2 linked regions of the Neurospora crassa OR74A genome follow. The protein of the gene in region 1 interacts with the protein of each later gene in a pairwise test. Links are inferred from orthologs where the notes say so. Each region holds a gene or a part of one and is shown in the gene's direction. Other genes may lie near its edges.

Region 1 (6,441 bases):
CTTATCCCACCGTCGACGTTAGCATCCGAGGTTCAAACGCATATCCCCAGTAGGGAAGCTCGCACACCGGCCGTTTCCAGTTCCACATTGACAAGCACAGCCCCTGTTACGGCGCTTATCCCGTGCGGGTCTCGAGTCGCTCGCAACAAAAGAATTCTTGCGGAACCGGACATCGGGAGGAGCGGCCAAGTGACAGCTGCTCTACGACCGGCCTGACCACACTCTGCCTGCCTAACCACTTGCTAACCTACTATTGTCAGAACGCCCTAAGCAGACAGCTTGAGGATAGCTCTGTCTTCTCCATCATTAAGCAAGGTTGTTTTCTTTGGCTACCATTGTTTTGACTTGTCAAGTGCCATATCGGCTACCACAGACCAGCTCACTTCGCTGCCTGCAAAGCCTCAAGTTTAAACATCAAAATATTAAAACCCACCGGGTTAACCATCATCATGGCTGCCCCCGAAAGCGACCTTATGGCCTTCTACCAAAGGTTTCAAACCCTTAGTCTTTTTAACGACAGCAGCGCGAGGCTGATAGAGGTGGGCTTCCGTCCAACAGAGTGACTGAGAGGTTGAAAGATGGACCTTTCTCAACTCATGCCAGTCTCTATTCATTAGGCTGACATGTATCTGTGCAGGACCTCCTCCTTTACTCCAAAAACGTTGAGGATGCTCTCCGCGACGAAAACAGAGCCCTTAGGAGACAGCTTACAGATGCCCAGCTCGATCTTGAGGATGCCACTCGTTCTAGAAGAGACCTCCAGCAGCAGGTGGCGAATACCGAGTCTCGTAACAGGGACCTTGCTCAAGATAATCATCACTTGAAGGTGAGGGTCACTGGCCAGTCTGGTCGAGACAGTTATTGAAACAGAATCTGCAGAACAACAATCCTTTTGTGGTCGTCCTCATAGACGGTGACTGCTGTTTGGTATGTCCACCCCTGGTCTCCTGCTTCCCCCCTGCAGCTGTCTAACTCCTTGTTGCAGTTTAAAGAAGCCTTAATCAGACAAGGAGTCGAAGGCGGTAAAAAGGCGGCTTATGCTTTGCGAAGCGCTATTCTTGAGCAATGCGGCGATTTTGCGGGCAATATGGAAGTCATTGCAAAAGTCTATGCCAACCTCGGTGGCTTGGCCAAAGCCATGAGACGCAACGGATGCCTGGAGGCTGAGGAAACTCTCAAGGAGTTCACCATTGGCTTTACTCAAGGAAAGGCAACCTTTGACTTTGTTGATGTTGGCCACGGAAAGGAGCGCGCGGATAACAAGATTAAAGGTGGGTTAATCTGTCCCAGTAGCACACTTGATAGATACTAACCGAAAACAGAAACGGCGAAATGGAATTTGCGCAACTACAACTGTAAGCAGCTTCTTCTCGGCATTTCGCATGATGCCGGCTATGCTCCATTCCTGGATGAGCTCTTCCAAGATGAGACCAAGAAGCGCCGCGTTACCGTCGTCGAAGGTATTCCGACTGTTCGCGAACTCGTGTCCACCGGCGTCAACATTTTGAACTTCAACGACGAAATCTTCCGATCGGAGAAGCTGGTAGACAAGACATCACTGCGCACCAACACTTCTCCCTTGATTACCACGTCATCTTCATCTACCACCACTCCTACTGTCAGCAACGGCAATCTTCCGACTCCCACCAGCTCCACCACGTCTACGCCCGCGAACGCAACTGCTAGTTATGCCGGAGCTATTGGAAACGCGAGCCCTCCGCCCAAGATCACGCTTCCTATCCAGCCTAGACCTGTGAACGCAAATGCTCGTGCCTCGGCCACCCCGAAGCAGCCGGCCTGGAACCCCGGTCCTCGTGGCTTGGACCCGCCCATCAAGGTCTCACCAGCTGCTCTGGAAAGTATCAAGAAAAGGAAGGACAACAACAAACTTTGCAACAATCATTATCTAAGGGGTCCCTGTTCAAAGGGCGACGCCTGCTGCTTCGAACACAAGTATAAGCCTAGCAAAGAAGAGATTGACGCTATTGCCTTCTTGGCCCGCTTGAACCCTTGCACCAGCGGCCAGGATTGCGATGTCGAAGATTGTATTTATGGACACCACGTAAGTTTCACTCATCATGCCTCGAGTTCTGGTTATGTGCTGACCGTAATCACAGTGCCCCAACGTCAAGGACGGTGTCTGCACTCATCCTTATTGCAAATTTGAGGATGCCGATCACCCGCCCGGCACGAAGTACAGAAGCACAAAGACCTATGACTACTTCTCTTAAACAGGGAACGACGTAGCTTTAAGGGGAGCTCTGACGCGGTGTGGAGAAGATGGGCGTCTGCGAGTGAAGACCCATCTGATGAAGGGGGTTTCCTCAAAAAGAGTTTGGGAAAAGAAATTTATCGAAGAGGAGGCTTTCTCAGCGAAGGGAATGCGATGGCGAGCTGTCCGAATAGGAGGCATCTGAGATGAAAGGCACCAAGAAACGGATTTCACGCTCAGGGGCTTGCTGTGGCTGTTGCCTTTTGCGAACTGATCATTTCTCTAGTCTATTCAAATCAGGAGTCAGAATTTAGGAGATAGTTTGAGTTGTTTGTTGTTTGCGGATGCTAAACAGCGGAGGAACATGACGTACAAAATACAATCTAGTTTGTTTGTTAGCTTAGTACATACCTGTTCCAAGTACACTTGGACGAGATCACTTCCGAAATGTGCCAAATATTAGAACGACTAAATGCATGGCGAGGTACAGATGACACGCATCAACACAAGATTTATTTTGGAAAAAGCATATTCATAAGAACGCAAAGTATCACCTGGACATGAAAATGCTTGGTGAAGTTGACTCGAGGTTGGCGGTTGGTGCCGCTAATTCGTTGCCGGCCCGGAGCCGTGTGCACGGACCCCACTTTATTTCCCCCGGCCGGCTACCCCACTCAACTCAATTGAAACCACATCGACAGCTTGGACGGGCCACCCCACATTTCTCCAACAACTCACGGGGAGCTGTTGGTTCATCTGTTCAACCACCGCGACCTTCCACTTCCCCCCCCCCCTGCCATAATTATCACAGACCTAGTCGCCTCAGCTGTATTTGCGCATTCAGAGTTTGACTTCACCAAAATACCTACCCACCGAGCAAAGATCAAGAGCTACAGTCTCAGTCACAGACAACCGCCAAGATGCCTTCCCACCCGCGGGTAGAAGAAGTCGAGGACAGCGACCTTGAAATGTCCGACCCCTCCGAGGGCGACATTGACGACTTTGCCGAATCCGACATTCTCGTCCAGCGCGACGCTCCTCCCGCCTACGCCTCCAAAGTCATGCCCGGGCCCTCCTTCACCCCTCTCTCCGCCGCCCACCGCGCGCAGGCCGAAAAGCAACACCAACAATTCCAAGCTGCCCAGGCCGCCCAGGCTGCCGCCGCCGCTCAACAACGACAAGTCCCTCCCCCACAATATTCCCAACAACAACAACAACGACAGTACACCCAACCCCCCGGCTACCCCCAGATGCAAACCACCACCGACGACTCGGCCTACAAATCCTTCCAGTGCCTGTACCCATGCTACTTTGACGCCACGCGCTCGCGCGCCGAAGGCCGGCGCGTATCCAAGGAGCTAGCTGTTCCCAACCCGCTAGCGACCGAGATCGTCAACGCCTGCGCGCAGCTCCGCCTCTCCGTCGTTCTCGAGGCAGGCAAGCTGCACCCCAAGGACTGGGCCAACCCGGGCCGCGTCAAAGTCAACCTGAAGGAATTCATCCGTCTGCATGGCGAGAATGGGAAGCTGAAGAATAAACACCACTTGTATATCCTCGTGGCGGAGCATCTGAAGAAACACCCGACGACGGACGAGAGTCCGGCGCTGAGGGTCGTGGTGAGGGGCGCGGGACCCCCGCCTAGAGAAATGCTGGAGGAAGGCAAGAAGTGGCCGAGGCCGGCGGTGCCGAGGGGGTGGAAGATGAGTGAGCTGTTGCCGTACTATAGTCCGGCGATGACGGGCGGTGGGGTCAGTGAGAATTTCTTGAAGGATATGATGAAGGAGATGGGACCTGGTGGGATGCCGGGCATGCCGGGGATGCCAGGAGGAGGAGCGGGAGCGGGAGCGGGTGGGATGCCGGATATGGCGAGCTTGTTGCAGGGGATGGGAGGGATGGGAGGATTGGGTGGGTTGGCGAATATGTTGGGGGGGATGGGTGGGATGGGAGGTAGTGGTGCGACGAGTCCGGGGGCGAGTGGAAGTGAGGCGGCGGGGAAGAAGAAGGGGAAGGGAAAGAAATAGGGTGCTAAGTCTAGGGGTGGGAAGATGTGAAAGGAGTTGAGAGCGATGCTCATGATTGAGAAAGATTCAACCTGCCAGCAAGCCTTTTTCCCGCTTTGCCGTATAACATAATGAACAACAAACAGCGTAGACCGCAGAAAGCAGTTTACCAAAACGATAATACCATGTACTTTTTAACGAAGCCCCGTGGCCGGCTCGTCCGAAACAAAATAGATGAGACCAGCTAACAGCCTAGGTAAATCAGTCCGCTACCGCCCGTCGAGGTTTTTTTTTTTTTTTTTTTTTTTTTTTTTAGAGAGGTAGAGGTATATGATAAGAAGGATCATGATGCTCTTGTTACCCCAAATTTTTTTTTTAAGTTTTCGTTTTTGTTTACTCGAAACGGGATCTGCTCTCACGGGGCTTTTTTCGGCTTCTGTGTTTGCAATAACTTCACAGTTACCTGTTACTTTTTTTATTCGTCGAACTTTAGGGTGGTAGTCGGGGAGCCTACTATAAACTACAACAACCGAACACTTCCTGGTTGTCTTTGAGCACAATGAGCGATGGTAAGTTCCGCCAATAACCAACACCTTTCCTCTTTATCCTACGTGGGAGTCTAGGTACTTCCCCATCGCTAATCACCTTGGTTAGTCCTTCCCTCATGCGCCTCACTCAGTCCATCAGAATCCTGAACCCATCAACGAATACAGTCTCTACCACGCCACTCTGTTATCAACAGCTGAGTATTTGAAGAGGTTATTCGTGGTATCCGAGACTGAGATTCACCTCAAAGATAATGCGGCGGCGGCGACTCCCAGAACTCCTTTTCCCTCGAAAGAAGACGCCTTTTCTCAAAAGCGGCGTGAGGGTGTTGTGCCGGGAGCGGAGGCTGAGGTCAACTTTAGCCACTATGCTGAGAAAAAAAGATCAACTCGAACCTGTGCAACATCAACATCAGGACAGAAGCAGGATCGCGATCAGGACCATCTCACCCTCTTGACCTCCCTCAGCGAACAAACCACCTCCCTACTCCAGACATACTCCCAGTTTCAATCAAAAAGCAAAGACAAAGGAGATACCAACGTGTTGGAACGAGTAACTGTGCTAGGGCAGGTAGCTCTAGTCCTAGCTTCTTCGCTTATTGCAGTGTCCGCAGCGTCTGGAGATGATAAGGTTGAGTGTCGTTTGGCTGCTTATCCCGAAGCTCAGACAGAGGCACATGCACAGGCACAGGCTCAGGCTCAGAGAGAGGCGGCGGTGGCATTAGCGAATATGGGCGTGGCGCTTGTAAAGCAGTTTGATGGGACGGGGGATAGGAGGGATTTGGAGGAGGCGGGGGGGGGGGGGGGGGGGGGGATTCATGCCAGGGATGGAGGTTATAGCAGGGAGAGGGAAGTAAGGGTTAAGAGGGGGGAGATAGAGGGAGTTGGTAAGGGGAATTGGAAGTGGGAGGTGGGTGGATGAGAGGATGAAGATGGGGATGGGGTTGATGTTGACGATATGGATGGGGATGAGCGTGCTGAGGTTCTGGTGCTGTTGGAAAAGGTCGGGGAGTTGTTGGGTGAGCGAGGGTTTATGGTATAGATGTGAGTAGTTGCAGAGTGATGAGATCGAGAGGAAGGCGGGGATTTTGCTGTCCTGAATACCGTTTGAAGATCGGAAATGCGCCGACAGAAGTGATCAGAGTAATGGGGTTGATGTGTCTGGAGGTTTCGGTAGTCAGGCTGGCTGGTGACGGATAGGGAGGGACTGGATGATGGTTGACCAATGATTGGCTGTGGAAGCAATCTGGAAGAGAAGGAGCTGTGTCAAAAGCTCAGAGTCATAACTGGCAAGAGCTGCCCGCCAGCTACGGGCGAGAAACACCATTGGTCGAACACGACGAAATACAACCACACTATCTTGTGGCGCGGGTAGTGACTGCCGCGTGATGATAGGTTGCAAATCAGTAGTTGCCTCGACTGTTCTGATTGCCATCTTCATTGGATGGCTTTTTATCGGTATGCTTTTCGTAGCCACATCTTGCCCAACCTCCAGCTCGACCATCCCTTCGAAACTCTCAAGGCGACTTAGTTCTGCTGACACCCGACAACAACACTGTCCAGACGTCCCCCTCAAGACTCTTCGGAAGCCGTTCTGGCAACATAACTTTGTCCTGTAAACCTTTCTTGAGGTTGATCTCCTCCTCGGAGATTCCATTCTGATAATGTCAACCGAACCAGCGCC
Region 2 (4,750 bases), on another chromosome or scaffold:
CATGGCCCCAAACAGTTTTGCAATGTTGACAAGCCGCCGCATGTCCATCGCATCTACATCCTCCTCATCCTCCGCGTCATCGCCAAAAACTGACTCTCCGAGACGCCTGAATAGCTTCCAGAGCGCGTCTTGGAACGACCACCGGATTTTGCGATCCCCGCAAAGCTTCTTGGCCACCAAGGTGTAGTATGGGTTGTAGACCTGCTCTGCGCCGGCACACTGGATGACCACGTATGGAATCTCTCTCTGTCGCTCCTTGTTCAGGCGCAACTTGAGGATGCGGTAGTAGGCATCTTCGTAGTCCGTGGCGGACATTATCGACACAAAGATGGACCGGCGCACGTCCGTGTTCATCTGGTTTTCTCTGGCAAGTTCTCCGAGGTCAGGCATGTCCTCGACATCCTCCAAGACAAAGCTTTCGTCGTCCGAGTCAACGCTATCCTGTATGACACCGTCCTGGGTCAATGGCTTCTTGTCACTGTCCTTATCTCTGCCTGCCCAGCTAGCGCCTACAAGCCACCATTTGCCCTTCTTGTCGGCATCGCGTATATCGGCAAGGGTCATTCGCAAGGGCTCGGCCGTCTTGATGGTTTTCAAGGTGCCCAAAAGCTTCTTCATCTTGGTTGTGTGCTCCGTGAGAACGGCGGAAGCGCCTAAACCCGTCTTCATCTTGTTGTTTTTCAGGTCGTTGATGGTCTCAATCATGAATTTAGTTCTGACGCTGAGGTTCTTCTCTCCGATCTTGGCAACAGCCGGGCGGATAAGGGTAACAATGTCCTTGACAGACATGGGGTCATCTTGTCGGAGGGCTGGGCCAGCAATGCGCACAATTCTGAGCAAAAGTTCCGCGTTCAGCTCCGAAAGATCACCCAAAAGGATTCGAATGAAGTCGAAGAGCAAGTTAGGGCCCACGAGTTGAAAGTTATAGAGTTCGGATAGGAAAGTGATGAGGTTGGATGTCTGTTTCGGCACGTCTGGCCGCTCCTTTGCAGCCTCTTTGGCCTCTTCATAATGCCTATCAAATCGCTCGATCACTTCTTGAATTAACTGTGCGCCAAAGTCCATGCCAATCACCTTGAAGATACCCGTAGCGAAACCCGCGGTAAGCACGAGCAACGTATCAGGCAGCGTCGTTGGCTCGCACACCTGAATGAGTAGGAGATCGACAATGTTCGACGTAAGATGTTGTCGCGGGTTGTCGCGGTAAAGCTTTTCAAAGTCCATAATGATGGATAAAAGATTAGACTCTGTCATCCTGTTGATGAGACCTTGTGTTTGACGGCGAATGTGGGCCACCAACTCCGCTTCTGAGCCCGCCTCCTGTCGCTTCGATGGTGGCACGTATTTCACTACAGTCCGCCCAGTTGTAGGCGCAACATATGGGTTTTCGCGGACCCGTTCTGGCGGCTTTTGTAGCGTTTCTTCGTCGTTGTCGGATTCGTCGTCGTCGCCGTCGTCCTCGTCGTCGTCCTCGTCGTCGTCCTCGTCAAATCCTCCAAAATCCCCCTCATCCTCGCCCAAGATGCTGTCTTCTTCTCCATCTTCATCAGAATCGCCTTCGACCATGTCTTCGTCTTGGTCAACGTCGTTGTCTTCGTCCGAGTTCAATCCCTCTAAGAGATCGTCCAAGCCATCGTCCTCTTCGTCCAGTTCGGAGACTTCATTTTCTTCCTCGTCTAGTTCGAATTCCTTCGTCTTCTTGGCCTCTTCCGCTTTCCTCCTTTTCGCCGCAAGCCACTCATCCGCTTCGGACTTCCGCTTCCTTTTCTCGGCTGTTTCGTCGTCTACGCCAGGAAGGCCTTCTAGTAGATCAAGAAGACCATCCTCCTGGAAGGACTTGGGAAGCGATTTGCGTCCCTTGATGCCGAGCTTCTTTTCGAGGTCTGCGATCTCCTTGTCGTCTTGCGCCAATCGTTCCATGACAGTTTTTGAGATTTTGGGCTGCGACTTCGATATGGTTTGTGTTGGGACATCACTTTCCTCTTCATCGTCCACGTCTTCGCCGTCTTTGTCGTCTTCTTCGTCGAGGTCTAGCTCATCGTCCTCGTCCTCGTCAAGATCGATATCGCCCTCGTCATCGAAATCCTCATCATCGTCCTCTTCGAGGGCAACATCTTCATCCTCATCCTCCAATGATCGTTTCTTCCCGTTCTTCAAGATGGGCTTGGGTTCCTTTGCTTCCTTTGACGATGCGGCATCGACCTTCTTCTGTGGTTTTGGGGCTGTAGCGCGCTCGGTATGGTAACTTCTTGTGGACGAGGTGCGGTGAATCCTTTTCTGTGTTCTCTCTGCTTTACGGCGATCCTTTCTAGACTGAAATTGATTCTTGCGACCTCCGTGAGATTGTCCTGCAAGAGTTAGGATTTCGTCGGAGAACCCTGATTGCCAGGCAGGAATGACAATGGCTGTATGGGCGCATGAACGGAGGCACGCTCACCTTCTACGCCGAGCTCCTTCAGGAGGTTGTCAGGCAATTTTGGAGCCTTTATCCTCATGGAGGGTGCCATGTTGTAATATGCGCGTGCGGAGGTGTAGATGTGATTGATTGGCACGACCTCCAAACTTTGCAAGGCTCTCTCGTCCGTCGCTGCATGGAAGAGCGCGGGATCGGGACCTTGCTATCGTTATCAGATAGTTTTTTTGGTTATCGGTCGGTGCAGGGTTCCAGGCATGTCGACTGCGGGGCCAAGAGCGCCAAGAGATGAAGCGGGTCCTCCGCTGCTTGGGACCCCACCCGGCTGGTTTTACGCTGGGGAAGCTCACTCCTACCAGACAGACGGGAGCTGCCCGGCCAACAGCAGTGGGGAAAGCTGCCACTCTCGTTGACTTTCATCAATCATTCTAGGTTGCCTTCACATTCACTCCTCAGCCGAATTGTTGTCTTGCCTTTTGCAAACGAGCATAAGAAGAAGACGAAAAACAACTGGATATCATGGGTCATTTAACTCACGATGAGGTAATGTTATATGTGACTGGCTGCTGTGATCCCGTCCTGAGGAGACCATGCTAATCTGACTTCAACCGACTATGGTATATAGTTCTTCTCCAAGCTCACCAATCTGTTCGAGTATAGGAAGAACCAAGATCACGGAACCATCAACCTAGTACAAAAGAGGCGTACGTGTACCTACACCAACCCAGCGCAGACAGGAAACTTCACACTCGGCTTTGCTATCGTCACGACAATCCTCCCAATTTCCGCTGTTTTCCAAGCTTAAACTCCATCTCCATCCACCCACGATGAGCTAAGTAGAGTGAAGCTCCGTCACCAAAGCTAACCCTCCCACAGTATCCTACAGCACCCCTTCCCAATCCACGGATACCGACCCTCTCACTGACCTCAACCCTGCCACCCCGCTCCCGGTTCTCATCCGCGCCACCAACGCCAAGGGCAAGGACAAGAGGACAGAAAAGGTCAAGCTGTCCACCATTGTCGAGCCAGCCGACCTGGAAACCTTCTACGGGAGGTACGCCGATGTTTGCAAGAAGGGCATGGGGGCATTGAAGCCGAGAGACAGGACCAAGAGGAAAAAGCAGTCGAGGAAGAAGAAGACAGGTCCTGCAGCCGCTGGAGGTCCTGGTGTTGGTGCTGGTGGGACTTCTATGATGGCTATTCCCTGATTGGACTCGAAACAAGCGTTGCAAATTACACCATTGCTGTTTCTGTCTTCTTGTGTGTACATGACCTAACGGAAGGAGGGATCTGTATGAGGGTACCGTATTAAATTTTGTAATATTCCCAAGCTTTGGTGGAATACCCTGGTTCAAGTCAGTGGGTACGCATGGTAAGGAAAGCGTTGGTGAGTAGTACCGCATCATAGCCTTCAATCTGCCACTCTCGGTTACCCTACCTCTCGACTCACCTGCTCGTAGTTGGTATTACCCTTCAAGACGACTAGCGAGAAAGGAAGGGAAGAAAAAAAAGGTGTTGGGAGAGGGGGGGAAGGGGGAATATGAAAAGCTCAGCTGCCTATCTAGCGTGCAGCGCACATCTACTATCTACGTGAGCTACTGGAGTTAATGAAAGGTGCGAACTAAAGGGATCATATGCCCGTTCTGGAGAATGTTCAGTCCTGCCGCAGGAAGTATGCGGCCCTTCGTGGAAATGGAGATGGAAGGGAAAGAGAGGAACATGAAATGAATGAGTGACGGAAGAAGCGTGAGAGAACGACTGCTGTGCCTCAACAGAGAAGCTGTTGAACGAAGGGGAGAGTAAGAGCGAGCCGAATTGATAACGTTCATATGCTTGTTCCAAATCTGCTGGCTGGCCTTCACGATCCTGTCTTGGGTGTGAACTTGATCACCGGGAGAGCGTGTATCTCCAGGTGACTCGATCTAAACGGTCCTATTAGCAAAGTTAACATTTCTCATTTGGTAAAATAACAAGACTGCCCGGGTGGAGCAGCAGCTACCGTACCCTGACGTCAAGCGTAGATATATTTGAGCCGCACTTATGAGCATCAGCTGAAGGGCAACCGGCTCACCCGTTCTCCACTCGATTCACCATTATGAAACACCACGAACACGTCACATCACGTTGGCTTCACCTTGATTGGCTTTGATTCAGGTTACCAAGAGTCGCAGTTCCAATGTTCGACCTTAATCCTAAGGTCAACCGAGATAATTGCATGTTCTCTTCAAGAGTACAGTCTAAAGGTGGGGGGATGTAGGTGAAACAAGATCAACTGTCCATTTTGAGGGTCCGAACCGTAAACAACTTGCTGAAAGAAAGGCCGAAGAGCCAAATGTC

The links. The genes of interacting proteins can lie anywhere in the genome.
Region 2: the proteins of NCU03485 (region 1) and NCU02405 interact in binary tests that used the Saccharomyces cerevisiae proteins (3 or more experiments, as listed by UniProt). The link is inferred for Neurospora crassa OR74A from reciprocal best matches to the Saccharomyces cerevisiae genes SEC65 and SRP14.

Annotation. Positions count from the first base shown.
Region 1 is NC_026502.1:522,339-528,779, forward strand, and holds NCU03485 (signal recognition particle sec65 subunit), read left to right. Parts: upstream 1-2,921; 5' UTR 2,922-3,132; coding exon 3,133-4,233; 3' UTR 4,234-4,497; downstream 4,498-6,441. Other genes in the region: NCU03486 (hypothetical protein), read left to right, coding at 450-539, 638-826, 880-927, 986-1,271, 1,323-2,062, 2,118-2,231; NCU03484 (hypothetical protein), read left to right, coding at 6,422-6,441. UniProt on the Saccharomyces cerevisiae protein: Signal-recognition-particle (SRP) assembly has a crucial role in targeting secretory proteins to the rough endoplasmic reticulum (ER) membrane.
Region 2 is NC_026507.1:2,610,977-2,615,726, forward strand, and holds NCU02405 (hypothetical protein), read left to right. Parts: upstream 1-2,778; 5' UTR 2,779-2,932; coding exon 2,933-2,956; intron 2,957-3,038; coding exon 3,039-3,117; intron 3,118-3,289; coding exon 3,290-3,621; 3' UTR 3,622-4,221; downstream 4,222-4,750. Other genes in the region: NCU02406 (nuclear protein), read right to left, coding at 1-2,348, 2,438-2,507. UniProt on the Saccharomyces cerevisiae protein: Component of the signal recognition particle (SRP) complex, a ribonucleoprotein complex that mediates the cotranslational targeting of secretory and membrane proteins to the endoplasmic reticulum (ER).